2 linked regions of the Rhinolophus ferrumequinum genome follow. The protein of the gene in region 2 interacts with the protein of the main gene of each other region in a pairwise test. Links are inferred from orthologs where the notes say so. Each region holds a gene or a part of one and is shown on either strand. Other genes may lie near its edges. The genes, in order: AP1G1 and AP1B1.

Evidence for each region.
Region 1: the proteins of AP1B1 (region 2) and AP1G1 interact in a two-hybrid assay, tested with the Homo sapiens proteins (2 studies listed by BioGRID, with this or other methods). The link is inferred for Rhinolophus ferrumequinum from reciprocal best matches to the Homo sapiens genes AP1B1 and AP1G1.

The regions. Positions count from the first base shown.
Region 1 is NC_046298.1:20,872,297-20,887,394, forward strand, and holds the start of AP1G1 (AP-1 complex subunit gamma-1), read left to right. Parts: upstream 1-9,178; 5' UTR 9,179-9,509; intron 9,510-15,098. UniProt on the Homo sapiens protein: Subunit of clathrin-associated adaptor protein complex 1 that plays a role in protein sorting in the late-Golgi/trans-Golgi network (TGN) and/or endosomes.
Region 2 is NC_046308.1:18,828,162-18,844,231, forward strand, and holds the start of AP1B1 (AP-1 complex subunit beta-1), read right to left. Parts: upstream 8,170-16,070; 5' UTR 8,013-8,169; intron 1-8,012. UniProt on the Homo sapiens protein: Subunit of clathrin-associated adaptor protein complex 1 that plays a role in protein sorting in the late-Golgi/trans-Golgi network (TGN) and/or endosomes.

The sequences.
Region 1 (15,098 bases), on a different chromosome or scaffold from region 2:
CCTCACTTCTTTCAAGACTGTATTTAAGTGTTCTCTTCAATAAGGCCCTTACTGCCTACCTTCTCTAAAATGTCAACTTCTTCCCTCTTCTCTGCTTTATGTATTTTTCTCTATTGCTCTTATCTTTATCTAACACACATTTTGTGATCTTTTTTGTTATCTGTCTCTCCCACTGGAATATCATCAGCTCCATGAGGACAGGGACTGTTGTCTGTTTTGTTCACTGTGACATTCCCAGTACTGTGCCTGGTTTATATTAAGTAGTCAATAGAGTTTGTCAAATGAATGAATAAATCCAGAGTACCACTGTTAAGGTTTGATGGCCTTTCTTGTAGACATTGCTATGCATATTTATGTCTAGCTTTTAGTCATTGGTGTACCACAGTGTCTGACATCTTAGGCACTCCAAACACAGCCACTGAAAGAGAGAGAGAAAGAAGAAGCACGTGGGCCAGAAAAGGTTGCTTTTCATCATCATTGACTTACACTAAACTCTAAGCTTCATGAGGGCAAGACCCATGTCTCTTTGCTCACCGTTTCTTCCCCAGTGCTTCCAAGAGTACTTGATATGTAGTCGGTATGCAATAAACAAATGTGAAATAAATTGAGAACCCAATGTGATTCTTACCCTCTTGCCTTAGGCTGAAGCCGCAGCAGACCGGCTCAGTGTTGAATTTACCAACGATGTCAAGAAAGGTGCCCTTGGCAATAGCGGTGGAACTGTAGCAGGATGTGGTGATTCACTTGGGGCATCTGCCAATGTCTGCATCAGGGCCCTTACTTGTGCCATCCCCAGTTCCTTGTTTCTCATCCCTTCTTCGTGAAAGACAGGTCAGTATAGAAACTGAATCTGAAATAGGAATACCAAGTGCTACTAGAATGTATTTCTACATGAGCCTTTGGAATAATAACATGATCTTTGTGAAGTTTCTTAAGGCCAGAGGGCATATTTGTAATCATTAAGCTTTTATTTGATGTGTTTTTATGCTGAATTCATGAGAAAAGAGGGCTATACTCTTTTATCAACCTCTTGACAAGGCCACACTACAGACTTCAAAGAACATTTGTATGAGCTGGACAAATTCGAAAGTCTTTAATGTACAGTGATTTAGACTCCTGTTTCAGTTTAGATATATTCAATTTACATGTCATGAAAACAGTTTGCTTTCCTGTTGAAAATAGTATAAAAATGTCATAACTGTGTATGTTCATAAATCTGAAGAAGTCAAATAAGTGAAACCTAAAGAGACATAGGCATTAATTTTCTTTACTGTTTGCTCCTTCAGTATGAAGTAAAGAGAAATTGTTTTATTCTTTTCAACTTGTTAGGCATTTCTGACCCCATGAAGCTCTTTTTTTTTTTTTAAAGATTTTATATTTCAGATGTAATTTAATTCTGATTTTCCTTGTTGAAATTATTTGTCTGAATAACACCTTATGTATTGCTCACCTTCTACTTTTGGCATGTAAGTCCTCTGATTTAAAAATTAAACAAAGAAAACTTTATGGAAAATTTAAACATATTCAAAATTAGAATAATATAATGAACTTCCATGTACCCATCACTCATTTTCAACAGTTGTCAACATTCTGCTGCTCTTATTTCATCTAGCTATTTCTTCCTAACACTTATTTTGAGAGAGAAGGAATTTAAAGCAAATCTCAGACGTTATATGATTTCACCTTTAAATACTTTAATATGTATCTTTAACACATACCCTTTGTTTTTACAATATAAAATAATGTCATTGTGATGCCCAACACAATGAAAAACAAATCCTTAATATCATATAGTATTTCTTACTAAATTTGTTTATCTCAGAAATGCATTTTTACAGTTATTTTGGGGAAATCAAGATTCACATATTGTATTTGGATGATATGTCTCTTAAATCTTTTAATTTCTAACACTTCCTTCTTTCTGCCTCTTCTTTCTGTCTTGCCATTTATTTGGTGGAAAAAGATTTCATTACACTGAATCATCTTTCACATGTAGCATCTCCAGGTTCAAAGATAAAAGATTTCCCAATTCTTGTATGAGGCCACAGGTGACAAAAGAAGCAAAACCCAGTCCCTCCTAAAGCTAATTTCCAGAAGGCATAAAAAGAACTTCACCTCAAACAAGAAGGAAGCTTGACTGTGATAAAGTTAACTTAATTTTAAGAAATATATTTATTGAAGGCTTACTATAAACAAAATCTGTCTTGGGAAACTCAGACCAGTTGCTTACCAGTGATTTTTTTTCCCCCCAGAATGACTCCTATGAAAAGAATGATTTGTTTCCTACACTGATTCCTAGTAAGTGTAGGGAATACCGGTGTTAGTTGAAATTGCTTCATATTTGTTGAAGGGATTTTAATTGTTATAAGACTATTCACCCCTCCATTGGTGAGAGAAGTTGTAAGTGATTTACCAAGAGTGTAATGTGTTCCTTTATGGTAACTCAGTTATCAAAGTGAATGTGGATCTCAAAGAGATCTTTAACACAGAAAAAGTTTTAAAACCACTGCTGCACTAGATCATCCTGTCACCTGTTTTGAAAAAGTGTGGGTTTTTTTTTTTTTTAAAGTCCAGATTGTCCTTGAAGGAGATAGCCAGCAAAATGTAAGCACTACCATAATTTACATGTTGGGGGAATTTTCTAGTTTTTTTCAGCCATATTATATGCTGTTCTCTCAAAAGCATTAAGAGCCTACTGTCTTTGAGGCTGGAATTTCATTCTGGAGGACACATTGTTGTCGCTTTTAATTACATTTACTGAAACAAACAGGTCCAGGATTCAACCCCCAAACTTCTCCACAGACAGAATCAAGAGCCAAGACTGGTTTTGGTGACTTTGTACTGCCTGATTTGCCTGATGTAGAACCTCAAGCGAGCCTATCTATTGACTTATGATTCCGAGGAAATCGATTTTGAAGATTTTAACTGGAGACTTGAAATGCTGAAGAAACCCACATAATTCCTTAGTCCTGGATTGAGTATTTACCTGGGAATTAGGACTCCTGGGCACAAATTTTAATATGGCCACCGATGTGTCCTTCTGAAGTTTTCTCATTTATTAATACAATTCCTTCTATCTCTTAAATTCTATGGTTCTCTGTCTAATAATGTGTGTGTGTATACATATATAATCGTACAATTATTCTTGTTCCTTAAAATTCTGTACTTCTTATATGAAGATTCCTCACCTACAGAATTTTATTAATTGTAGTCAATAAACTTTTGTTTTCTCCTGGATTCTTATTTCTCTCGTAATTATCACTTTTTCCAGGGAAGCAGAATGGTGTGTATTAAAATCTCATCTCTGTGCTTAGTAGCTATAAGACTTTTGGCAAATGGCACCTATCAGATGTGCATAAGAGAGCTAAGGAACTAGAGGGAAGAAAATGAGTATCTTAAGGAATGTGCAAATACTAAGAGTGAATGAGAGAAGTGTTGTCAGGAAATCAGTGGACTCCTGCATGCCTCGCTTCAAATTTAGACTCCACCACTTGCCAGCTGTTAGCCTCCTTTATCTCACCTGTAAAATGGGGACAATAATGAGGATTAAAAGAAATAATGTATATAAAGCTCTTAAACACTTAGTAGGTGCGCAATAAATATGTTTCCTTTCTGGTTTCTATTATTTGCTAAGTTCCAGTGGACTCAATATTAGTGATTCTTTGAGACTGGATAAAGGAGAGGCTAAGAAAACAAGATGGCCAAATTAATTATTTTTTGTTTGTTTGTTTCTTGTGTAACTGGCATTTTTGTCTGTTTGTTTTTTTTTCTTTTTAAGAAACTCTATTTTTTAGAGCAGTTTTAGGTTCACAGAAAAATGTCAAATTGATTTTAAATGCAATGATTAGTTATGCAAAATCTTTATTTCAGAATCCTATTTTATGTGTCCAGGAACATTTACATGGCTCCTTTGGCATGTGAAAAAGTGAAATCTGGACACCAATTTCTCTCTTTCAAAAAATCAGTTTGCTCTTGAGATTTTTATTCTAGGATATCCTCCTCTTTATCAAAGAACAAACTTATTCAAAGAACATGGAATTAGAGGGAGGATCTTCCAAATCCAAGGCCAGGGACTGATCTGCACAGCAAGTTGGCTGCCTCTCCTCAGGAGTAAGGCACTGCACCCTGGCACCGGTTGGAGTTCTAAATCATCCTCTGGCATGTGTGAGGAGCTTGGCGGGGAAGGAGATTGCTGTTCCCTGAACTGGGTACCAGGAACTGGGTGCCCCAGTTACCGTGGATGTCCCAACACTTCTTGGACTTCCCAGGCTCATTTGAAAGCAACTTGCAGGACTGACTGATTTTAAAGAAACAAGGATGGGACTTTGCACCTAAAGGAGAACGAAACCAATTTACTGTGGATCCTTCTTGGCATATAATGGTGTCCATATTAAAGCAATAAAATGACTTGAGTGGGAAACAATGAGTCAGAAGCTCTGTTTTGTTTCTGGATGGTGCATCTTCTCCAGTGGCGTCGGTTTTGTCTTCCCTAAATGGCAGCATGGCACCATTTCCTCAGTTAGTGTTTGACTTGGTTGCAGGCTCATACCTGGTGAGATTTTTTTCACTCAAAAAGTTCCAACATAATACAGAATCATTTACAAACCAAGTGTAACTACACTACAAAAAAGAAAATATAACCTAAATATGACATAAAGCATCTCCGGTGGTACTTCAGGCTGCCTCTTTAAAAAAAGTCTCTAAAGCAAAGAAGGAACTTGGCCAAGCCTCATATCCTCTTTGGTCTTTACTTTGAAGGAACATAGAGTAGATTTCCCCATGTTCTTGGTAGGAGGTCAAAGAGTGTAAGGAGTTGGCTGTTAGAATCTTAAGTTTTACATCAGGATTTTGTCATAACTGAAGGATTAATTCCTAAACCATTTTCTCAGGCCAGGATAAATGGTGATTAGGGACCATGCTTAAAAGAAATGTGAAAATGCTTTTTGCAAAAGCATTACATAAATGACAGAGGGACTAATTTCTCCCTGACTTTCAGGCTTATTTATAGATTCGTCACTCAAATGGTAACAAAACAGGCCAGTGGAACTGCCTCTTTGACTCACGACACTGCATTTCCTATAGGGTTGCGTCTCCTTTCTCTACTGAGATCTCTGGCACATGGAGAGCAGGAAGAGTTCCCTGTGGAAGATGCTGACCATATTTCCACAGAGAGGGCTTTCCCCATCTGCTGTAAAGGTCATATGGCTTCAGCTGATGATACTGAGTCATTTAAGAACCCCTCTGCATCTAAGTCCAAGAGAGATGGTTCCCTCCGCCCCCCATTGCTCCCCCCACCTTCCTCCTCAGGACCACAGAGTCCAACTGCATGCCATGTCTTCCAAAAGCCCTCTTTCACTGCTGTAGCTCCTAGTGATCTCTCACTTTTCTGCTTTTTTGGGAACTCAGATGTATCTGCTGAGTAATAATATCACTGATTTTTTTGGATTTGGGGAGTTTTTAAAAATCTGGTTTTCCTCAATGAGATTATAATTATCTGGAAAGTATGGATAGTCAGTCCCTTTTGAAATGCCTGTTATAGATTCTGTACACCCAGAACAGCATGATGTAGTTGAAAGAGTCAGGCAACATGTTTGGTGAATGGTTACTATATGCGCCAAAAGATATATTCAAAGTTGAAAGGTTTAGATTGGAGTCTGGTCTTTGCTGTACGTAGGTGTGACAAATCATTTCATTTCTCTGAGCTTCTGTTTTCTCATCTCTAAAATCGGGATAATAAAATTTATCCTAAAAAGAGATAATATTTGTTGAGCCCTTACTATATATCAGCTGTTGTCGTAATATTAATACTTTAAATGTATCAGCTCATTTAATTAACACACCAGCCTTAAGATGCCAATGCTACTATTAACTCCATTTTACAGATGGGGACACTGAGGTTCAGAAATGCTCAGAAATGTTAAGTAACTTGCTGAAGGTCACACAATAAAGAGAGGAAGAGCAGTTTTAAACCCAGGCAATTTAACACCAGAAACCAACACTTTTAACTATTCTATAATGCCTGTATGCTTTACAAACTCATGGTGGGTGAGAAGCAAATGAATCAATGCATATGAATACACTTTTGTAAATTGTAAAACATAATGCACTACTGTTACTTGTAGTGGGCAATCAATAAATGCTTTAGTTGAATTGTCAGGTGGCACAAAAAAGTTTTATACTTATATTCTCATGACGTTTGATACTTTTCAAAGTGCTTTCACACATTTGATCTCTCTGCATAATAGCTGCTTTGAATCCATTTTGGAATAAGGCTAGTCATAAATAAATACTGGCCAGCTGAGGAAATAGGCCCCAAGATGGTAAGTACTTTGCTCAGGGAACAAAGTGAGTTAAACCCAGCCAGGATGGGCATCCAAGTGGTCTCACTCCTGGCCAAAAACTGAAGTTTTGTTTGTTGTTATTATTTGTTAAATTGAACTGTACAAGGTATCAGTAATAAACAAGACCATAAAAATAATGATCTTTTCTCTCAGCCATTATCTCTTCCTAGAAATTTGTTTAATACTTTCAGGCTGTTGCTATTTTAAAAACAAAAATCTCTTTTAGCATTTGGATCCATAAAACTGCATTATCTTATAAGGTCTTTCTTTTTCAAAATGTAAAACATTTTTTTCAAATAAAAGTACAGTATGCTCCTTGCAAAAACAAAACATAGTAAAGTAAAAAATCCTCTAAATTCCACCATCCAAAGATAATCATCTTTAGATTTTAGTATTATCCTTTAACTGTTTTCCTATGTATATACAGTACACACTTTTTACAAGCTCATTTTATAATAATGTTTTGTAATGTTTCTAAAAATCTGTGAAACCATAATAACCTCCATTTTTATTGGCAGAATAGTGTTTCATTTTATTGATGTGTTGTAATTTATTTATCTGAAATTAGGGATTATGTTTGAGTAGATGGTGATTAAGTCTTCCCAAATTTCAATTGCTAGCCACAGAAACCAAAGATTCCAGGATAATGATGACCATGCTACATACTTGGTCAATTGCTTTTAGTTTTCAGTTACATTGAAGGAGGGGTTTGGTAATTATAAAGATAAATATAAGTTAAAAAAAATACATGAAGCGGGTTTGCCTTTTATAATGTCTGTCATTTTCTCTTTCATGCTCTATCATTGGCATGGTAGAAAACAGCTCCATCCTCTTTCTTAAGAAGATGGCTTAACTTTTCTTTTGCTGTTTGCGATGGTAAACATTTAAATTCAACCTCTAAGCAAATTTTGTCACGTTGCAAATGGAATACTTTAGCTAACTGCTTTGTAAATTCCTTACTTTTTTTTTTAAACCCCACTGCCCACCCTATAAATTCCTTACTTTTATGGGAGCCTCAAACTGTAGTACTTTAGCATGTGTTCATGCATAGCTATACCTCAGAGGAATCCATGTCAAGGCATCATTACGGTGTTCCAGTTTTGCACTACTATAGTCAGCCCTTGCTATCTGTGGGGGATTGGTTCCAGGACTCCCACGAATACCCAAATTCAAGGGTGCTAAAATCCTTTATATAAAATGGTGTCATATTTGCATATAACTTAAGCACATCCTTCTGTATGGTTTAAATAATCTCTAGATTACTTATAATACCTAATACAATGTAAATAGTAGTTATATTATTTATGGAATAATGACAAAGTCTGTACATATTCAGTACAGATGTCTGACTACATAGTACACATCAGCGACAATGTAACATTTTTCCCCCAAATATATTCTAGCTGTGGTTGGTTGACTCCTCCTAGAAGCAACTAGAGGATACTGAGGGCCGACTGTATTTAGGGCTGCACTGTGATCCAGGGATGCACTGTACAATAGTTGCATGGAGGGGATACAAGGTGACTGAATTCCATAAGCATTTTACTCCCCAAACCATTTGCCCTTGGTTGATTCCACCCTAAGTGTGGGTATGGGTGTGGGTGGGTGTGTGCCGTTTTCTAATTTGCAAGGTGGCATGGTATAGCAGAACCCCATGGGGGATGGGGAGAGTCTTTCACTAAGTCAGTTTCTCTGTGCCGCAATCTTCTTATTTGTAAAACTAAATTACATATGCCTGTCTAGTCTGACTCAGAAGATTGTTGGAAGATTAGATTATACATACAAAAATGCTTTTGATAAACAGTGTGGTATCAATATTTAATAAAAAATAATTACTATTATTATGCCCTTGATCTTTTTCTCCCCCCCAGCCGCTTGGCATGCCTCAGTAGTTCAAGAACAAAATTGTACAGGTGGGCCTATTCAGTTCAATTTTTGTAAAATCTTTTGAAATTCTGGCATAAGAATGGCTAAGAGGAAAAGTGTAACCTTTCTACTGTGTTTCCCCGAAAATAAGACCTAACCGGAATATAAGCCGTGGCATGATTTTTCAGGTTGACATCCCCTGAACCTAAGCCCTAATGCATCTTTTGGAGCAAAAATTAATATGAGACCTGGTCTTATTTTCACGGAAACACAGACCGACAAGTCCTAAAATCAAGATTTGTGGTTAGTTCAGTTCTCTTTGGCATCTACCCAGGTACTGTGCTTTATTCACTTTGGGAGGTTCACTTTATTGCCAATCTATCTGAAGGATTTTAGTTTAGGTAGGTCACCTTTCCTTTAAATGGGTCAAGCTATCATGGCCCTCTTTACGTTTACATGGAAAATATTCGTATCAGGTGTTAGTAATTATTTATCAAGCCAGGAACTGTCTGGTTAGCCTGTCTTTGGCTCCGTTCATTAGTTCATGGAGTCAGTCAGAAAGCCTACTCTGCAAGGATTTTAATTGTCACTAGTCCAAATCCTCTCAGTTTATATATGAGGAAACTGAGGCCCTGAGAGTTTAAATGACTTGTCCAACGCAGATGGTTGAGCGGTGGTACTGGGCTTGGAATCCATTCTTCGTGTCATCCTCCAACTCTTTTTGTAAAGTATGTTGCAAAGATGCCATAAAACCACAGAATCCAAGACCACCTGCTTCGCCTCTCGCACTTCCTTCGCTACCATCTTGCGAGCCCCGCCCTCTTCAGGTGACTAGGTCGCTTCCTGGTAGCCTAGGCGCCCCCAAGCGGAACCAATGTCGGTCGGCTGCTGGGTCAGCCGGATCTTTCTCGCTCAGACTCTCCGCAGCGGTGACTCGGCAGCAGCGTCTCGCGTCATCAGTGACAGCCCCGATTCATGCTACGCTTTGCGTCGCTCTGCCAGGCGCAGTCACCTCCTCCTTGGCAAATAGTCCTCGGCGAGGTTCGAGTTCTTGGATAATTAGAGAGGGGAGGCACGAGAAGTTAAAGTCAGAGGACGCGGAATCGACAAGGAGAGGAAGATAGGGACCGAAGTTTTTCGATAGTGTGTGAGCTTAGTTAAAAACTCCCCGCTTCCTAAGGATCCCTCCGCCTGCAGTAGCGGTGGTGAGGCCGAGGGAGCCGCCATTTTGGATGTTCGGTTCCTGCTGCCACTGCTGCCGCCGCCCCCGGAGCTGCTGGTCTCATTCGAGGTTTCGGGCCGGTGAGTGTCACTCGCGGCGCTAAGAATATATTGCTGCTTTTGCCCCACGCTTGCCGGTAGCTCTTGGCCGGAAGCTTCCTGTCAATCCCAGGGGTCCGGTCCCAGGCTGTGGGGGGGTGAGAAGAGAGGACAGAGGCTGGGCCAGGAGGGGCCCGGAGCCCCAAGGACTGCTCCGACTTCTTGCCGACCGACCCCCGAGGCCTCGGACCGGGAGGCACCGCGCGCGGTTGCATTCTGTGCTGTGGCGTTGCTCGGTCGCTGCGGGCTTCCTTGGACCCGTTGACTTTCTCAGGCTTCGATCCTCATTTGAGGGCTCATTCGGGGAGCCTGGGGTTAGCCGGGCGGGTCCCACCCCCGCGTGTCTTCTTGAGCCACGTATCAGCGTTCTTGTATCTTATACCCGGGTCAGGTCTTTCCTAGAACTTTTCAGAATTTCCAAATGCTAAGTTAATTCCAGTCTGCACCTGCAGTGTTGTCTTCTCAGAACCGGACATCGGCCTCGCCTCCCTTTAATCTTCCGAGCAACTTCTTTCCCAATTTTCCGGGTTTTTTTTGGTTTGTTTTTTGTTTTTAAACTCACCTTCCAGTACACTGCTTACCCTTCTCTCAAACTCCTGATCGTGCGTACATCAGTTTCTAATAATTCTCCCTATCTTCCCGACTGCCTGAAAGAGTTGGGACGCTTGGTTATGTTTCCCTGTTAGGAGATCCGTCGAAACACTCGCCCAGAGTGTCCTTAAGCAGTAAACGTTCATAAACCCCATTAAATGGCTTTTGGGAGGGGTGGTAGGGATAGGCTGTCAAGTGTTTTCTCATTTGTGTGTTACTTTCCTTTGCTGAACACTTAGCTTTTTGGTTCTTATTGACACTGTTTTTCTTGGTGTTTTATATCCCTAGGCATGGAAATCTGCCTGTGAAGAATCTTAATCTGATGTAGGTAGAAAGGAAAGTAACTTTTTTTGCTGCTGTAGGGATTAGTTAACAGAAGAGAGGAGTGAAAGAATATTTCTTAGTGAACTTAACTTTCAGGTGTTTTGTACAGTAATCATCTTTGTCGACGGATTCTAAAAAATACTTGGATTGACTTCTGTATTGGATTTTTCTGGATTTTTAAATACTTCTGTTCCTCGTAATATTTGTCAGACTGTATACACCTTAACTTTTGGTTTAAAAATAAAGACTCTCCAGGTACCCATAATCTCACCACTTGTATTCTACTCTTAACATATGTTTGCAGTGTAGCATGCTTGAATAAAAAGCATTTTACAGTAATTCACTGCTTATTTTCTACATTTCAAATTAGGTGAGTGATTGTATCACCTCTATTTCATCTTAGCCTGGGTTTTTACATCTGCAAAAGAGAAATGACTTATTTGAGATTACAGCCTAGTAACTGCTGAACTTAAAATTTATAACTTGAACTGGACCAAATATTCTAATACTTCTAATTCATGTCTAAGTGCATTAGTCTTATTATCAGGTAGGTACATTCCTGTACTGATCATATCGTGTATTAGTAGAAGACTGAATGTTTTCATTGTAAATAGTGTTCTTGTTATTTAAGACTTCTCAAAAATAGGCGTATTTACTCTGAAGCTGTGGAGTTTCTCTTTGTTTAAAGGAACTCTAAACCAAGTCTTTTACCAAAAGAGTTTGGTCAAACGTGGAGCATCTATGGAATGCTCACTCGTTTATTATTGGAAGAGTTATCAGATAGGTGTCATTTAATTCGGTTCATTTCATAACACAATGTACTGATATTTAAATGTCATTCAAAACTATTTACTAATGGTTTGCATTCAGTTGGAGAAAGTGTCTTTCTGCCTTACAAATTATAAGCAAAGTGCTGTTTAGTGCACTGTAGATTGATCAGCATAGACCTGAGCATCTATTTTATCTAAAGTTGTTGGGATTATACTTGAATGAAATTAACATTATTGTTTAGAAAACCTCAGTTAATTTTTGGGGGGAGCAGTTGCTTGTTCTTTAATCTGTTTCTTTGACAGCAGTTCTAGATTTGAGGGTGAATTTTAGAGTGAAACTAATGTACAGATATTGTCAGCAATGCCTTGGTAATAGTTCATCCTACTATTTTTAAAAGTAGTCTTGAAATCAGTGGTGTATAAAAACAAAAATCCAGGTTTTTGTGATTTATAAAAACTTTTTATGCAAATTGAAAAAGTTGAACAAGTATTTTCCAAAACATTATTTTTTTAAAAAAATTGAATTGTGGGGTGGCCAGATGGCTCAGTTGGTTAGAGTGCAAGCTCTCAACAACAAGGATGCCGGTTCAATTCCCGCATGGGATGGTGGGTTGCGCCTCCTGCAAATAAAGATTGAAAACGGGTAACTGGACTTGGAGCTGAGCTGCACCCTCCATAGCTGGATTGAAGGACAGCGACTTGGAGCTGATGGGCCCTGGAGAAACACACTGTTCCCAATAAAATAAAATAAATGAAAGTATAATTACTAATATCAAATAAAATATTTTTTAAAAAATTGAATTGGGAAACTACTTACCAAAACAGATTTTTGAAATGCTTAAATCCCGTTATTTGCATTCGATGAGGAATTTAAAATTTTGTGTATACAGAAGGACTTAATTGATAACAAATCTTTAAAATTTTTATTTAGATTTAGCTTCAGAAAATCTAAAAGTATTTTCTTCAAACTGCAGCAACTTGTTTAGTTGGTATTGGTGCTTTGTCAATTGTTTTCAGTTCTTGATTTTGGCTTTCTTTCATTGAAACCTTTGTTAATTCTGTTCAGTTTTTTTATGCAGGATATTTAAAGTAGGAAGCAATTTTAAAATTAAGAGAACATACAGATTTATCTAAGTTCTTATTTTTTTGGTTTACAAGTCTTGAAAATCATGTCTTGGTCAAAAAGTATTAGGATATTTTCATTTGCTTTTTATGTAGAAAATTTTATTTCAGTAAAGGCAGCCATTTCTATGAAAATAATGTGCAAGATTTTTTCTTCACTGAGGGAGTAACACAAAATACTTGATTTGGCATGAGTTCTGGTTACTATAAAAACTATCTCTTGTCAATGTTTGAAGGGTCCAGAAATGGGAGGGGGAAAAAAAACCACAACACACTTGCCAAACTTGTTGAGTCAGCATCAAGCTAACACTTTTGTATAAAAGGGTAAGGTTTAGGATAATATGATTGAAACAAGAAATGCTTTTTTCACCATTAGATACTTAGACGTTTTGCTTTCCCCAACCCAACTTGAACCATTGGAGAGGAAAATTATCAGTAAGTTATAAATATTGTCAGTGAAAAACAGGTTTAGAAGGAAAAAGTTACTGTTTTTTAAAAGAGAGAGAAAATATATATAATTTTTGTACTTTATGAATATTTAAAGACATCTTAAAGGAAAGTAATTTTTACCCCCCCCAACCCTGTTGTTACAGTGCAACAGTCACTGTGAAACCTGATAATGCAGTTGCTTTGCCTCACTCCAGCTTGTTGTAGCTGATTGTTTTTTCTATTGTACAAAGCATCCTAGACTTTTCAGCTTGTCTGGCTTTGAGGTTAATGTTATGGATTCCTGGGAAGAGTAAATATGAGAAAGGCATGAACTTAGATCTTTTGAACTGTAAAATAGTTGCACACCCCTTTTTATAAGCCTTTGGTTTAAAATTAAGACTGACATAGAATAGATGATGTACTATTTGGTTATAAGGTCTAACTTTTATAATTAATTACACAATTGTACACCTCAAAGTAAAAGGAGCTCCATTAGTGTTTTTACAACTCAATTTAGTGAAACTATTTATTAATTGTCACTCTTGGGAAATTGTTCAGTTTCAAGCTGAAGAAAAGTTCAGTTAATTTTTCTTATTTCTGTTACAAAGTCTGCAGAAAAGATTTGGTTCCCTTTTCACTTGATGAATTTTTTTGAAAACATGGTATTTTAAAAATCTGGTGAAAATATGGTTTGAGATGAATGGGGAAACTAACTGAAAATAATTAGGCACACTGTAGAGTAATTGAATCTATAGATATTATGTTTTTGGTATGATTATTGAAGGAAAACTTTGAAGTAGAAAGAGCCTGTTTTTTTGATAGTACCCAATATATGTGATGTTTTCATAAATGTGTATTTGTCTCTACCAGTGAATGCTTGGCGTCATTTTCTTTAGAAAATTTCCATGATGAAAGCTTAATAAATGGTGTTGATTATTTAAGAAAGTAGAAAGAGGAAGTAGCTTACAATTTGATTTTATTAGCATTTGGTTGTATTATTTTTATTTACACTCACAGAACTTTTTGCTGTTCCTTGACTACTCCATGTTCTTTCATTCTCCTTGAACCTGTTCTTCCTATAACTGGAATCTTTTCTTTCTCCCTCTACCAGTGAACCCATTCTTCCTGCTCTCTGTCTACCCCCAGGCAAAGAGGTGTAACCCTTTTTTTAGTACTTGTTGAATTGTCTACTTTTCCTTGGAATTGTCTACTTTTCCTTGATCTTCCAGAGGACAAAAACTATCTTAAATTGTGGCATTTCTAATACTTGGCACGGTAGTAGCTATTCTGCAGAATGGATGATATTAATAAAAATAATATGAAAAAAATTGTTCAAGTGCTCAGATAAACGGTAATTGGTCGATGCTAGAGCCCAAAGCAGTCAGGGTCCTGAGTGAGTTATGGGAATCTATTGCAGGTCCTTTACTTGTAACTGGGAGAGTTGATGTCAGTGAAATTTATTTTGAGGTTTAGAAAACATATACAAAACCTTGTCTCCGTGTCTTTGAAAATATTATTCAGATGTTTAATTCTGAAATTGACGTTATCCTTTTCTCTTTGTGATTTATCGAGACTTTTTCTTACAAGCTTTAAGTGGCAGCAAAGAAATCTACTCCTCCTGCCATCTTTTTTCTTTTCAATACCTATTTTGTAATTTGGTATGCTGAGGAAACTAATAGTAAGTTGAGAACTTTTCCCCCAAAATGGAAATATGTTGATAGTTCATTATTTGTTTCTGACTCTCCCCATGTTTTTGAATAATCTACTTTCATCGTGCTGAGGTTTTGGTTTTTGGTGTTTTTTATTAGTTTTTTTCGTCTGTCTTTTTAGTTTACAAAATAATAGGTATTCATTGTATTAATAATAAGTGAAAAAAATTAAAGTTATACTTTTTAAAAAGCGAATCATTTTCCTTCACTATTATACTCTAATAGCCCTTCACTATTATACTCTAACTATTTTATCAGTTTATAGGTATACTTCATTATTTCTCTTCATGCTGGGTCAAGTACTGTATATACAAACATAAATGTGCATATTTAGTGATTCTTTGTTTTTACAAAAGAGAGATATTTTTCGTATTACTCTGTAACAAGCTTTTCTTAACATACCATGGTCAGTAAATGTAATTCTATCTTGTTCTTTTAAATATCGCTATTGTGTCACATAGTAGATTTTACCACCAGAAACAGCACTACAATAAATGTCCTTGTACACGTCATCTTATTTGCTGGTGCTTTTATTTCACTTGGTCTTAGCCAAAAGGCCAAGAAGCGATGCTGGTGCTTTTATTTCTACTGACTTGAATCTCCAAGGTGGGATTTCTGCGTTAAAG
Region 2 (16,070 bases):
GAAGCTCAGAAAGGTCACGGCAGCTTCCTGGAGTCACACAGCCAGAAAACAGCAGTGCTGACCTTCTCCGCCCTTACCCCATAACGAGGTCCTGCCTGCCCCGCTGTCAAGCAAGGCAATTCCTCCCTCAATGGAGAAACGCACACACCCCAGGCCAAAGGGTACGGGAACTATGTTGCCACACATCCCTCCAATCCCTTGAATGCTGAATGACAGGTTATTTTAGGGCCAGCCCATCCAGTTTGGACAGTGAGAAGGCCAAGTTTGGTACCGTGCCTAGTGAAAGCCTGTCTAGATGAGCTGGCTGGGTTATGGGCCTCCTGGGATCTGGATGAAAATTGACTGGTCAAAATCAATCTCCTGAGACCTACTAGCAATTAAAGCCTCAAACGAAAAGGAACTAAAAGAGGCAAATGCCACATGCAAATGTCCCTATAGCAGCACTGAGTCTCTAGAACCTAATTTTAGAACCAGGTGCTAGTTCTCAACTACCTACAAGCAGTAATGTGTGGAAAGATCTGCTGTGAAGAAAAAGGAAAGCTCCTCTGGACTTGAAAACACAAACAAACTGGGGCTTCTTCTGAACAATACTTGAATTAATCAAGATGAGGGAAAAGATGCCAAAGACTACAGAATAAGGTTCCTTAAATTCTGTTTTCCCACTTATACAACAGGAACACTTTCTGAAGATCTGTCAGGTTTCACAGTCGTCCATTCAGTATGTCACAGTGGAGTACCGCTGGCTCTGAGACTGAGACTGCACCCCACGCAGAAGCACAGCACCCAGTAGACTAAGGAAAGTCTTCTCCCAGTGGTTCTGACAGATGCAGAGACCAGGTAAAGGACTGCAGGTGAGCAGCAGAGGGACAATGCCTTCCAGCTAACTGCCATCAGTGCTCAAGGAGAAGCGTTCTGAGACCGGTAGAGAGTCAAGGGAAACCCTCTTAGATGAAGGCTTGCCTAAACATGAAAAGATGGGTCAGACTTGGAAAGGGACGGGTGAAGGTGACTTGGAGAACACCCCACAAGACGCCAACCTAGCAGGAAGCAAACTGAGAATAACTAAACCACCAGCTGGGGTGCAGGCTCTGTACTAGGTGATTTAGAGCCCCCCCTGTCCTTTAATTCTCAAGGTAACATGTTTAAAAATGAGGAATTAAAGAGACGCTGAGAGAGTGACTTACCTAAGGATAAAACAAGCATGTGTGGTGAGGAGTCTGTGAGACCCTCTGCCTGGCTAAAGGCTAGGACGTGGGAGGGAAGGAGCTGAGGAGGTAGCAAGGAAGGATGGGATTCAAAGATGGGCTTGGGTGCCAGAGAGTGTTGGATCCTGGCGGCAGAAGATGCAGTGGTCCTGGCCAACGAGAAGTCTCACGCAGACTAGCGTGGACACTGCACATCGCGCCCTCCTCTTGGAAACCCGTTCTTCCCTTGCATTCCAGGATGCCATGTTCTCTGCTTTCCCTCCTACCCCACTGTCTGCTGCTCCTCCGTGTCCTTTGTTAATTCTTCCTCCTTTCCGTCTCCTTCAACACTGGAGCGCCCATGACATCATCCAGTGTCAAGGCTGTAAGTATCATCTACATGCTGACAACTTTACAGCCCCAGGCCCAACCTCTCCCCATATATCCAACCTGCCTAACTGACATCTAAACTTGACTGTCTATATGGCTAACAGGAGGCTCAAACTTAACATGATAAAAACTGACCTCAGGTTTCCCCCAACGGGCTCAGCCTGCAGTCTTCATCATCTAGTTACTGCCAATATCATCTTGAACAGGTTCTCAGGCCAGAAGCCTTGGTTACCCTTGACAACACACACTCTCTCGCTCATATCCCACATCTAATCTATCGGCAAACCCTACTGGGTCTACCTCGAAATGAATCCAGAATCCATGAAGCAGCGTTTCATCAGCTCCATCACGACCAGCAGGCCACAGGCCACTATCGCCTCCCACTGGGATGCTACCAACGCTGTGTCCACACTGCCCCCCACAACCCACCTCAGCAACAGGCAGAACGATCGTATTACAGTCTAAGCCAGCGGCACACCTTTGCTTAAAATCCCACAACGGTTCCCCGTCTCTCTCAGAGTAAAAGCCAAAGTCCCCATCATGGCCTCATGGCCTCTGAGGCCCTGTATGAGATGTACACCCCCTCCTGTCTCTCACACACACCTTCCCTGCCACTACCTCTTCGAATTCTTCTCGCACTGTTCTCTCCATCACTCCCTCAGTTCCAGCCATATGGGCCTCTTTGCTGACCCTTGAACAAAATAGGCATGTTTCTACTTCAGGACCTTTGCACACATGGTTTACTTTTCCAGGGAGGCTCTTTCTCCAAATAGCCTCATGACTTAGTCTCTCACCTCATTTAAATCTTGGCTCAAATGTCACCTTCTGACTGAGGCCTTCTCTGACCACTTTATTTAAAATTGTACACATCCACCTCACTTTCTAGTCTTCTTTCTCATCTAGTTTTTTCTTCAAAGTATGTAATACCAACATTCTATAAGATGTATTTGTATTGTCTATTGTTTTCTCCCTCCATACTATAAATTCCATGAGGAGAAGGATTTTGTCCCTTTTATTCCCTACTGTAGTCCCAGCTCCTAGACTGGTACCTGGCAAATAGTAGGGACTCAATAAATATTAGAATGACTAGTGCTAAACTCTCCTCTTGAGGAACTTTCACATTTTGTAAAACCATCCTGAGCTAGACAGCCACTTCCCAGGGTTCCATTTGCCAGGATCAGACTGTACATCTAATGTGGTTGTCAAGCTATTTTGACAAAATCGAAATTGAAAATGCCAAACCCCATCACCCGTATTACAGCCAATAAATGTAAGTAAATAAATTATAAGAGGGAAAAGAAAGGGCAGAGGGTAGAAGATCAGGTGGCAATGTCTCTATTGGGAGACATGTCCAGGCCACTTCCCTCAGGGAGGCCAGACCATCGTCCCCTGCTCCACAGGCATCAGCTCACAGAGTAACCAGAACTGTGGGACGTGGGGGACAAATGCTGGGGGAGAGGCTTAACGGGGGCTCTGACACAGGCTATGAAGTGAGCACAGCTGGGCCCTTCCCTCTGCCGACAAGCCTTTAGGCCCATGGGAACGTCTGTGTACCTCTCACTGCCTTTGCACATGCTGATCCTCTGCCTGGATTATCCCGTCCAGCTTCTAGAGTGGCTGCTCCAACTTACCCTTCAAATCTCAGCTTAGCTGACATCATTTCAAAGATACCATTCCTGCACGCACGAAGTAGCAATTTTTCTGTCCTCACCCCCAGTAGCCCTATTCAGACGTTTACTGACCACCTCCCGCAGTTCATAAACAGGTCTACATGCTGGGGATGCAGCCGTGAATGAAACAGACAAAAAGCCTTCCCTTCATAGAGCACACATCCTAATGGCAGACGGGACCCTCAGCAAGAAAAACTGTGAAATGCACAGCATCTCGGATAGTGATTCACTGCTACAGAGAAAAGGAGAGCAGAGAAGGAGGATAGGGAGTGTGGGGGAGGGGAGGTTGAAATTTAACTAGGGAGGCCACAGAAGGCCTCCTTGAAGTGGCAGGTGACACTGTCCAGGCATAAGAAATAGTCAGGGCAAAGGTTGGAGTGTGCCTGGCCTGCTTGAGGAATACGAGGAAGGTGACATGGCTGGAGCTGAGTGAGCAAGGAGGGGTGTAGGGGGGTATGAGGTCAGACGAGAATGGAGGGGGCCTTCCAGATCCAGGTAAGGACTCTGGCTTTTTACGCTGCGTGAGCTGGGAGCCACTGAGGCTTCTGAGCAGGAGTCCCGAAATCTGACTTACATTTTAACAGGTGCTGGCTGCTATGCTTCTGTTTCCCTCATAGCTTATCAGGTTTTCTAATTTTTAATGTTTGTTTTCTATTTCTTCTTTGTCTTTCTCCCCCATTAGAATGTAGTAAGCAACCCAAGCCAGAAACTGTCTGGCTTGTTTACCTATCCTCACACTTAGCCCAGTGCCAGGCACACAGCAGGGTCTGAAATTAACACTGAATGAATGAATGTTGGATGTATGAAGGTTCTGTGCTCAGTGTCTCACCATCCAGCCACCCAGGGCTTAGCGATCAGAGAATAAAGACCAAAGAAGCAGACTCAACAGCTGGCTATAATGCAATTTTGTCATTCCACTCTCAATATGCTTAAGACCCCAAAAGCAATTAGGGTGTGGTAAAAAGTATGTGCTACCCAAGTCTATGCCTCTACAGAGCTCAGCTGTAACTAACGTTTTCAGCCTTGCAAATGGACACTGAAGGGTTGGTTTTAAAGCTTTTGAGACCTGACTTCCAAATCTGCCACCTTCCAGCTCAAGTCCACAGAGGAGATGGTAACCTGGGGGATCAGACTAAGGCATCCTAGCTGATGATAAACTCTGAGCATTCTGGAGTCGACCAGCCATACTCTTATCTTAATAGAAGAGGTCTACCGATTTCAGGGAGACCCTTTTAATGAAGGGCAAGCCCAAGGTCAAACCCAAGGCTAAAAACCCAAAAAGCATGAGGCTTGGAAGTCTAGAACAGCCAAGCTCCCCCTCAGCTCCATTAAATAACAGGAGACAATCCAAGAACAAGGGGTTGGGAAAGGAAAGGTGGCCACAGCACGTAGGACAGGGGCTCTCCAGGGGTCTGCACAACATAACAGATACAACATGCCAGAACTGTAAATGAGAATGTCACATACTTGAGGGGTTTGTGACCTAAAACATGTCCATACATACAAAGCTCTCAACAGTGGCCAGCCACGTAGTACTTGATAAATGTTACTCACTATTACTACTATACAGGGAGAGACGTTACCACCAGCACCCCCCCAACCCCCAGGTTTCTGGAGGCCCTGAAGCATGTTGGTGGCTCACTGGGTGGTAGCAACAGTAGTTTGATAATAGTGAATACCACCACTGCTCAGATTTCTCCCTGTCCCCTGGGATGACATGAGGATAGACGGAGACCATCTGGAATTTCTTTGAATTTCTTAGGAGTTGAGGAATCCTGACAATTCATTCATTTGTTCATTCACTGAACAATGACTGAGCACCTACCACGTGCCAGACATTTTACTAGGTGCTGGAGACACAGACAGGACAAGTCCTCTCCAAGAGTTAAGAGCCTTTTACATAGAAGAGAGCCAAGCAAGCAATAACAACCCACTGTGAACAGTGCCACATCAAAGAAGAGCATCTAGTTCAGGCCTGCAGGGTAGGGGGTATTGATCAGATGGGAGGCACCAACAAGTGGTCCAGCAAAGGAGGATGGTCACAGGAAATGGTGTTCAGGCAGTGGGAACAGCAGAAAGCAAAGCCACAGAGGTATAAAGAGTTGGAGCTTTGCAGAAAAGCAGCTGAATTTGATTGGAGCCTGGGAGGAGGTGGAAGCGTGGAGTAGGAGCCAGGCAGGGGTCATGGCCCAAAAGGCCTTGGATGCAATGCTAAGGAATGTGAGTTTAGCCTGAGGGAAAAGAGGAACCACTCGTGGATATGCAAGCAGGATTTTTTAAAAAGGATCCCCCAAGTGCTCGAGTGACATTTTCTCTCTGGAGCTATTTGTTCCTCTGTGCGTGAAGAGAAAACGAATACAAAAACCATTTCTGGGTTGTGATAATTTATCCGTGACCTATCTTAGCTAAAAAGACCTGTTGAGAAAAAGAAACATCTTCAAATAACAGAGGCCCCCTCGGCTTACAGAATCACACCAAAGAGCAAAACCCATACCCAAGCCATGTTTGCACACTGTCAGCACCTCTGGCTTTGGGGCTGGGCGGTGGGGTTTTCTGGGAAGTGAGCAATTAAGACTTGCAACAGTTTCAGAGGATGACTAGAAAAAGATGTAAGTCCAAGCCCAAAGCCAGCAGGACTAACAGACTGCACTTGTTCTGAAAACTTTTAGGAAGTGAAACCAGAAGGATAGAAGTCCTGTGTATATAAAGATCTCTGTTTGCAGAAGTAAGTAACACCCCACAAACCAGAGTGACAGCCTTCCCCAGGCACAGGCCCCCAGCAGGCATCAACTGCCTCGGGTTAAGGCACCCACTACAATAACAGGCTCTGTACAAGTTTCCTCATCTCACCCCAATACCCACCAGTGCTGGGGGCAGGGGAAGGAAAGTGGCGGCCAGGATTATTTTAGAGCTGAGGTAAGGGAGGCCCAGCCTCAATCAATTGCCCAGGGCAAACTACCAGGAATCTGCTGAGCTGGGGATGGGACCCAGGGTTCCCTGATGGGGACATGGGAGTGCGTTTTCCATTATACACGAGCCCTCTGCTCAACCCACACTCAGCAGAGCGTCCCTACATAACCTCGGAGGGGTCCGAGTCTTTGAGAACCAGTGAAGCTGCTCTTCACGAGTTTCTAAGAGATCAGGGGAGCCTGGTGGGCTCAACTCGGGACAGGGAGTCAGATGCTCTGAGCTCTGCTCATGTTCCTACATCTGTGACAAGTCCCTTCATCTCAAATCCTCTCTTGGAAGGAGAGGGATAAGGTGACAATATTAAGTTTCTGTGAATTCTGTGCAACTAGGAGAACGGATCATAAAGTTAAAAAAAAAAGGTATTACAGTAGTATTTACAGCCCAGCTTTCTTCAGCGGCATGTGGAAACCTTCACGGGTTCATTAAGTCTTGGAACTCGCAGGAGTGGGTAGGAAGGCAGCAGGTTTTTCTCATGCTACCGTCAGGGAAAGTGAGACAGAAGCGGAGCAAGTAAGTGTCTGTACAGGACGAAGGCGCAGCCTCACAGAGCCCAGTTCTCAGCCCACCAAACCACCTCCCGGTATCCCAGGCCACACGTGCTTTCCCCAGCCAAAAAGTTATGGGGCCGGCACTTTTCTGAGGGACACAGACCCTTCTTTTGAGAATGTTGTTCAAGAACTAGGGCCAAAAGATCCCCTCGGGGTCATGTAGCTCGTCTCTTTATTCCAAAAGGAGTGCAGCTCAACCCCTCTCAAGGAGAGTTTCTGAATCGTCTTAAATTAGAGTCATGGATTTTTTGTTTTGTGTCTCATGGTTCCCAAGAGTCAGGAAAAACTTCCACTGGCCCTGAAAGGTTATCACAGCAATAGTCTGAAGGGCTGTTTCGTCCTCAAGAAGGTGAATCAAAGGCCCCTTAAGAATGTTAGATGAGAAGCAATAAGGCGACATCTTTACGTAGGTGCCAAGAAATATAATGATAATTAAAGATATTAAATAACCCCTATACCCCGACCTTGATGCAGCGTCTTTTTGCTCTGCACTTTGTGGGGCCCTGAAAACCTGAGTAGGAACCCTGGCTCTGCCTGTACTACCCGATTGACCTTACCACGTGTGATTTAACCTCTCTGGGTCTCAGTTTACTCACTGATAAAATGGGGATAACAACACTTGCTACCGCACAAGTCGTTGTGAAGTTTATGTGCTGCCTTGCAAGTAGAGGACTTAGCACAGCGCCTGACGCACAGCAGGGGCTCAATAACCAGTAGCGAGCTTTTGCCTCCGTATTCTTAGTCTTATTACAGATGCCCTCAGTTAACCTGTCCATGAGACACCGACACACAGACCAAACCCAAGGCCACCACGGAGCAGGCGGCTGTTTCTTGATTTCTTTTTTTTTTCCCCCTTTTCGAACCTTGGCAAAGAGATAAGGACCTGAACGACGAGGAGGCCTCAGGATGGCCAGAGGGGTGAGTACAAAGGAGGATACGAGGACCCGAAGGGGAGTTTCCCTTCTGGCCCGGCGCAGGCTCCTCGGGGCCTAAGTCTAGAAGTCTCTCTGGGAGGACACCTCAGGAGGGGCTGCGGACCTGAGGAGGCTGGAGTGCAGGCCCGCGGCCAGGGAGGCGCGAATGAATGAACCCGCAGTCCTTCAGGCTCGTCCGAGCCTGGGAAGCCACTCTACGCCCCTCGCGCGCGCCCCGTCACCTCCGTGACCTATGACCCCGTACACCCCTCACCTCAGACCCCCGACTCCCCGCCCACTTCTTCTCCAACCTCGCCGGACTCCCCGCTTCCTCACCCGCAGGTGCGAACGGCTCTTGGCAAAACAGCGCGGCTCGGCTGGGCAGCAAAATGTCCGCGGCCTCGTCCTCCCGCTCTCCCGGTGCGTCCCTGCCGCCAGCTGCTCCGAGCCCCGCGGCTGTCACCTGCCCAGCGGAAGTGAGCTGCTCGCGCGCGGGCACTTCCGGTGGACGCACAGCCTGGGGGCGGGGTCAAAGGTGTCACCCTAGCGGGAGGTGGTGTCCGCGGGGCGGGGCCAGAAGGGGGCGGAACCGTTCGGAATTAACCCCTTCTTAGCCGCGGCAGGGCTTCGCCAATGTCTCCTGTAGAGCGCTGAGAAAAATTAGCCCCCTAACCGCTCAGTAATTTAACGTGGATGGAAAAAAGGGTAGAGACTTTGAGGTCCATCTCTTCCTTCTGTGTTGCAGAGGGGAAAACTGAGGCTCTGAGAGGGGCAGGGTTTTGCTCAAGATCACTCACCTCATGAATGGACGAGTCAAAACTAGAGCTACAAGTCTAGTCTAGCGCTTGTTCCCCTTCAGTGCAGCCCTTTGGAAATTCTGCATTGTAGGGGGAAAATACTAGACCCTCCAAGGAACTTTTATCCAAAGAGAACTTCATAATGTCCCATTTCCCCTTTTTTTTTTTTTTTTTTAAGATTTCATTAGGACTGAAAGGACAACAACTTTACTTGGAAAACAGGCCTGGAAGTACACACTGTTCCCCAATAAAGTCCTGTTCCCCTTCAGTCTTAGTTGTGTCGGGCACAGCTCCGCTCCAGGTCCAGTTGCCATTGCTAGTTGCAGGGGGCACAGCCCACCATCTCGACTCGAGGAATTGAACTGGCAACCTTGTGGTTGAGAGGATGCACTCCAACCAACTGAGCCATCCGGGAGCTCAGCGGCAGCTCAGCTCAAGGTGCCGTGTTCAATCTTAGTTGCAGGGACTTGCGGGACTTGAGGAATTGAACTGGCAACCTTGTGGTTGAGAGCCCACTGGCCCATGTGGGAACCGAACTGGCAGCCTTAGGAGTTAGGAGCATGGAGCTCTAACCGCCTGAGCCACCGGGCCGGCCCCCCCATTTCCCTTTTGCTGGCTCTGCCAGGACTTTGATTCCCATAGCCACTTCACTACCCACTTGTTCTATTAACTTTCTCCTCCTTATAGTTTTTTTCTTTTTTTTCCCTTTCTTTCTCTTTCCTTTTTCTTTCTTTCGTTTTAGGAACAAAGAATTTAGTAGTCAGGGCTAAAGCAATTAACCCAGAAAATATTTTAAGTAAATGTTTTTTGGGTTTGTTATTTACATCTTAATTCCAGGAAGATAAACTGCTATTAATAGAATGAGAGCATCACATTTTAACATTTTAATTACACCATTATGGGCATAAAAGACTTTAATTAGCAAAAAGGCCTTATTAAACACAAGTACACATCTCTAACTTTGTCTTCTAAAATATTTTATTATTTTTATTTTTTCTTACATACTTTTTACTTTTATTTTTCAATTAGCGTTGACATTCAATATTATTTTGTATTAGTTTCAGGTGTACAGCATAGTGGTAAGACATTTATATAATTTACAAAGTGATCCCCGCAATTGGTCTAGTACCCATCTAGCACTATTACATAGTTATTGCGATATTATTCACTATATTCCCTCCACTGTACTTAACATCCCTGTGACTATATTGTAATGCCCCACTCAGGTTCAAGCCGTTGTTTCTCAGTCTAATTGTGTAGGACACAGCTCCCTGGCCCGTGCTGGTATTATTGGCCCTACCCTTGCTAAACCTACAGTTTGTCCAGGGAGAGTAACAGAGCTGCAGACACAAATGTGATAGGGGATACACTGGGGCTATGGGAATCCAGAGCAGGAACTAAAGTTCCCCCAGGGTTGAAAGGACCAGGGGAGGTCTGGACAATTGGAGGGCATTTAATCTGAATTTGCAAAACAACAATGAATGTTTATGTGCCCGTAGTCGGTAGGCAGAGGGTCTCATTTGCTCCTCACATCAGCCCCATTTTATCTGGGTAGGGACAAACTGCAACTCCAAAAGCTTAAGTCAGTGTTTGAGTGGCAGAGCTGAGGGACTGGTCCCAGAGCCCCAGAATACGTGCTTCATAAGTCCTACTCACTCGCCTAAAATATATTTGTCACTCTTATCTGAGCCAGCCATTTTGGGGATACAACAGTGAACACGAAGTGGTACAACCTCTCCTTGGGACTACTGTTAAGTGTGGGAGAGAGGCAAATAAAAGGACAATTATAACACAGCTCAGAAGGACCAGGGACGTATAGGAGACTTGGGCACCAAACTCAATCTGGGAAACTCAGGGATGGCTTCCTGGAGGAGGTGACATCCAGCCTGAACTGTGAAGGATGATATTACTACTACTAATAATTGCCATGAACCAGGCACTGTACTAGGCTCTTCTACATATTAACTCATTGAACTCTCCTAACAATTTGATTCCACAACTGTCCCCAAGTAAAGATGAGAAAACTTAGGACAGTGGGCAAAGCCAATTTCTCCGCCACTTCCCTGTGGGCCTGGGCCTCCTCTCCCATAGCTCAGTTTGTCAGGAGAGCTAAAAATATAATACTAATAAGAGACACAGCTCAATGCCAAAGGCTAGATAATTACAGCCTGCAGAGGTGGAAGACAGAAGTGGGGAAGAGAGGCTTCTCGGGGGCTTCCCTCTTCATCTCCACCACTGAATCCAGCTGGCCACCTACTCGAATCACACTCACTATCAAACACTCAGAGCTGTGTCTAGAACTAGAACAGTCACATCTAGGGCACGTGTAGTCCACACAGGCCCTCTGAGACCCCGGGCCCAGGAGGAGCCCCTTGCTCCAGGATGGGTGGAGCAGAGCCAGTGACGGTCAAGCCCACTTGGAGAGAGAAACAACCTCTCCCGACAAATACACCATTACTAACAATAACATCCCCTCCTATCTGGAGGAGGAAGTTTTAAAACTTTTCTCCAAACCCTATTCATTTCTTCCCTTCCCTATTGAGTTGGCTGACGTTGGACAGGTTTGTCAACCTCTTTGGACCTTAGTTTCTCCTTTCGGAGAACTCTGAACCCCTCCTGGGACAAGTACCACTGTATGTTCTTGACATCTATCACCATTCTCAAGTGGTGGGCACTATGATAACCCCCACTTTACATTGAGGCCCTGAGAAGCTGAGGAACTCTCCCAACTTCACGAGGGAACAGTGGGTCCATGCTTTCCCCCTTGCCCCATGCTTACCTGCTTCATGACGTTTCATCCAATCAGGGGAAGGTTGGAAGTACTTGTGATGTCATGAAATGACGCAGGACCTGCTGCTGGGCTTCAGCTACTGCGAGCTTCAGCAAGTCCCTTTCTCTTTCTGACACACAGAATCTCAGAGCCCATCCTTCTAACTCTATCGCCACACTGATGCATAATACTAAGTACTGTATGTTGAATTAAGTATTCTTTCCATCTTTGCCCACTAGAGGGCCCACAGGTGACATTAATTGCCACCCTTCCCTTCCGGTGAAATTTTCCCACAGGCAGCTCACAGAATGACTTTCTATGTACTGACCTGCTTTCTAGATTCTTCTTCTTATGTGATTTCTATTCCTCTCCTTCATTTTCTGCTTGCTTGCTGTTTTTATCCTACAAATTTCTAAAAGTTGCCTCAGATCCTTTCTGGAAGGAGGCAGGAGGTGACTTTGTCCACAGCCTCACTAACAGGGCCAGCCCCCCACCTGCTGAGGGTGGACAGCTCCAAATCCTTCCCAACCAGGGCAGGCCTGGCACAGCCCCCATGGCAGAGGGGTCTAGAGGCTGCCCGGGACCTCTCCTCTGCCCCCATTTCTCCCTGCTGCAAACGCTCGCATTCCCCCATCCCTGTTCTTCCCAGGAGCAAAATTCTGCTCACCCTCTCCTGGCTCCATTGCCACCATAGGCCATTTCTCAAAGGGTCTGCTGTCCCCTCTCAATTGCCCCTGAGAGGACTGAACCACCCTTTGCTGGTGCTATTGAAAAAGCCCAGCCTCTGAACCCCGCCTGGGTTCAAATTCCCAGCCGTGGGACCTCACTTTCCAATTTGGAAAATGGGGCTGATTGGGTGTCCATGCAAAGTTGTTAAAGAGATTAAATTGTAGAACTTACAGTGCCTGGCAACCTATAAACAGCCCCTTCCTCAATGGGAGCTTCTATTTGTATTAGTATTAGTTCAACTCAGCCACTTCCTGGCTATGTACCTGGGAACACATAACTTAGCTTCTTTGAGCCTCAGCTTCCCCAACTAGAAAATGGGACTAGTCCCCTTACACAGATGTCAAGAGAATTACAGTGGATATTGTAGGTAATGTTCTTAGAGCCATGCCCAGCAAGCACTAAATAAGCAGTAGTGACTGTGATTATTAAAGGCCATGCATTAGGGCACAAAGAAAATGTCAATAGACTCCAGTATAGAAGAATTGGAATTAATACATCATTCTTTGATGACACTCTAAAACACTAAAAATAATAAAACCAGCAAACCAACTACACCTGGCAAATAAAACACTCTCTTCTAAATAATCCCTGAAACTTCTATGCATGTAACTATGCTCCCTTCTGAAATCCCACCAAAACAATAGTAAGGGAATTTTAGAATTTTGATAAAGTGTATATAACATAAAACTTACCATTGTAACCATTTTAAAAAAAAACTTTTATTTATTTAAGTGTTTTTCCAGGACCCATCAATTCCAAGTCAAGCAGTTGTTTCAGTCTAGTTGTGGAGGGCACAGCTCACAGTGGCCCATGTGGGGATCGAACTGGCAATCTTGCTAGAGCACCACGCTCTAACCAACCAGCTGCCCCACCATTTTAACCTTTTGTTTTTTTAAATTTTATTGGGGAATACTGGGGGACAGTGTGTTTCTCCAGGGCCCATCAGCTCCAAGTCGTTGTCCTTCAATCTAGTTGTGGAGGGCGCAGCTCAGCTCCAAGTCCAGTCGCTGTTTTCAATCTTTAGTTGCAGGGGGTGCAGCTCACCATCCTATCTGGGAATTGAACCAGCAACCCTGTTGTTGAGAGCTCGGGCTCTAACCAACTGAGCCATCTGGCCGCCCCTCATTTTAACCATTTTCAGGTGTACACTTCAGTGGCATTAAGTACATTCACACTGTTGTGCAAACACCACCAACAACCATCCCCAGAACTCTTTTCATCTTCCCAAAATGAAACTCTAAACCCATTAAATACTAACTCCCTATTCTCCCTTCATCCCAGCCCCTGGCAACCACCATTCTCTTTTCTGTCTCTCTGGATTTAGTACCCCATATAAGTGGAGTCATACAACATTTGTCCTTTTGTGTCTGGCTTATTCATTCAGCACAATGTCTTCAAGGTTCATCCATATTGTAGTGTATGTCAGAACTCCATTCTTTTATGACAGTAATACTCCATTATACGGATATACCACGTTTTGTTTATCCATTTATCTGATTGACACTTGTGGGTTGCTTCCACCCTTTTGGCTACTGTGAACAATACTGTTAGAAACATGGGTGTATAAATACCTGTTTGAGTCCCTGCTTTCAGTTCTTTAGGGTATATACCCAGAAGTGGAATTGCTGGATCACGTGATTATTCTATGTTTAAGTTTTGAAGGAACTGCAATCCTATTTTCCACAACAGCAGCATCATTTTACATTCCCACCAGCAATGTACAAGAATTCCAATTTCTCCATATCCTCACCAACACTTCTTTTCTGTTTCTCAGATTTTTTTTTTTAAATAATAGCCTTCCTAATGGGTGTGAACAGGTATCTCACTTGGTTAAAGGGATTTTTAAAGGTAGAAATCCACAAAAGCCATGAGAACAAGAAAGGAAACAATGATAAAGACACTAGAAATGGGAAAGCAAATGGATAAAAGGTTAAGAACTTAGCTGAATCCTAAGCCACGAAGATGGAAGCCAAAAAGCAACCCAATTTATACTACAGAGCCCCCAAAGATTCAGGAACTGGTGGCACCAGAAACGTCTGGAAGTAGGAGTGAAAAATGCACTAAAATTTGCAGGATTGATTGAAAGTCTGAAAAGGAGTTAGACATCGCCAGATCCTTCCCTGACGCTGACCAGAAGACGTTATCGTTATGTACCCCCTCATCCAGCAGAAGATCTCAGAAAAGAGCAAAACAGAGGGCCCTGGACCACGGAACACCAGGTAGTGGGGGTAAGGGGTGTAATACAGTAAAAACAGAGAGGAAACAGGGCTCCGAGGCAGTGAGAATCACAGTGGACAAGCCCACTCATGTCAGAGCTGTCACTTAGCTGTCAGTGCATTGCTTAAAGCTGAGGAAGCAGCCAAGGATCACCAGGCATTTGAGGAATGTGGAAGTCAGAGGCCAGCACGACAAACAGATTAAACAACATGGTAGATACAATCTACATTAGTTGCCGCATACACATACTCATAGATTATTTTGGAAAGAAACATAAGAAACTGATAACATTAATCCCTGTGGGGAAGGGACCTGGTGGCTGAAGGACCTGGGAGGATAGGGGACTTTCCACTGTACTTCCTTTTGAACCTGTAAAATTATTTTAAACTTTTCATTTTGAAATACTTTTGTTTTATTTTATTTTATTTATTTTATTTTTTATGTTTTTGGGGGAAGGGGAACAGGACTTTATTGGGGAATAGTGTCTACTTCCAGGACTTTTTCCAAGTCAAGTTGTTGTCCTTTCAGTCTTAGTTGTGGAGGGTGCAGCTCAGCTCCAGGTCTAGTTGCTGTTGTTAGTTGCAGGGGGCGCAGCCCACCATCCCTTGTGGGAGTTGAGCCGGCAACCTTGTGGTTGAGAGGACGCGCTCCAACCGACTGAGCCACCGGGCCAGCCCTTGAAATACTTTTAGAATTACAGAGAAGTTACAAAAATAGTAGAGAGTTCTCATTAACCTTTCACCCAGCTTCCTCTAATGTTAACATCTTATCTAACCATAGTACACTGTAACTATAGTAAACTATAACTAACTAAACCAGAGACTTTATTCAAATCTCACCAGTTTTCCATTAAAGTCTTTTTTTTCTGTTTCAGGATCCAATCCAGGATCCCACATTGCATTTCATCATCATATCTCTTTAGTCTTCTCCGGTCTGTGACAGTTTTTCCTTTGTTTTATCAATTTTAAGCATGATGCGCTTTTGGCAATAGCACAAAAGTTATGTGCTCTTCTTGGAGCATCATAATCAGGGGAGACGCGATACATGATTTTGCTGTATCTTATTACTGGTGATGTCAACCGTGGTCTCCTGGTTGAGAGAGTGTCTGCCATGTTTCTCCACTATAAAGTTACTATTTTTCCTTTGTAATTAATGAATATCTTATGGGGAAGTACTGTGAGACATCTCTGTTGTGCTGATCTAATGATGACTTTTCTATTTCTCTCATTCTACATTTATTCATTGGAATTCTACGGTAAGGAAGAGCTCTCCTTTTGTCCCCATTGCTTTATTCAATGGTTTATTTCTATCCATAGTCAATGAGTTATTTAAATTCAATGATTTATTATGCATATGAACTCATGAACATTTTGTTCTGAGTTATCACCCAATTAAATCATTTATTTTGTTGATCTTTTTGTCCAACTTTGGCCCTTGGGAATTTTTTTAGCCTGGCTCCTTTTGACAAGCCCTCATCATGTTTTTTCAGGATTTTCTTACTTTCTGGTATTTCAAGAGGTTTCCAGGCTCATCTTGTCTTTTCTCTGCTCCAGCACTGCAGTCAACCGTTTTTCCAAATAAATTACCCTTGGACCATGATTTCATTAAGTGCAGATGAAATGTATTGATTGTCCTTCCTTTAGGTTAATATTAATTAGGTTACCTGAACACAGCATCCTAGGTACGTTATGTGAATTATTGTTAATCCTCATGTTACCTCTGCAGGCTGTGTACCATTATTATCCCTATCTTACAGATGGAGAAACTGAGGCTAAAAGCTCAGTTCATACATGGTAGAACGAGAGTTTGAGCTCAGACATGTGGGCCTCCAAAGCCTGGACTCTTTTCCTTGACGGGTAATGGGAGTTAGGGAGGGCAGGG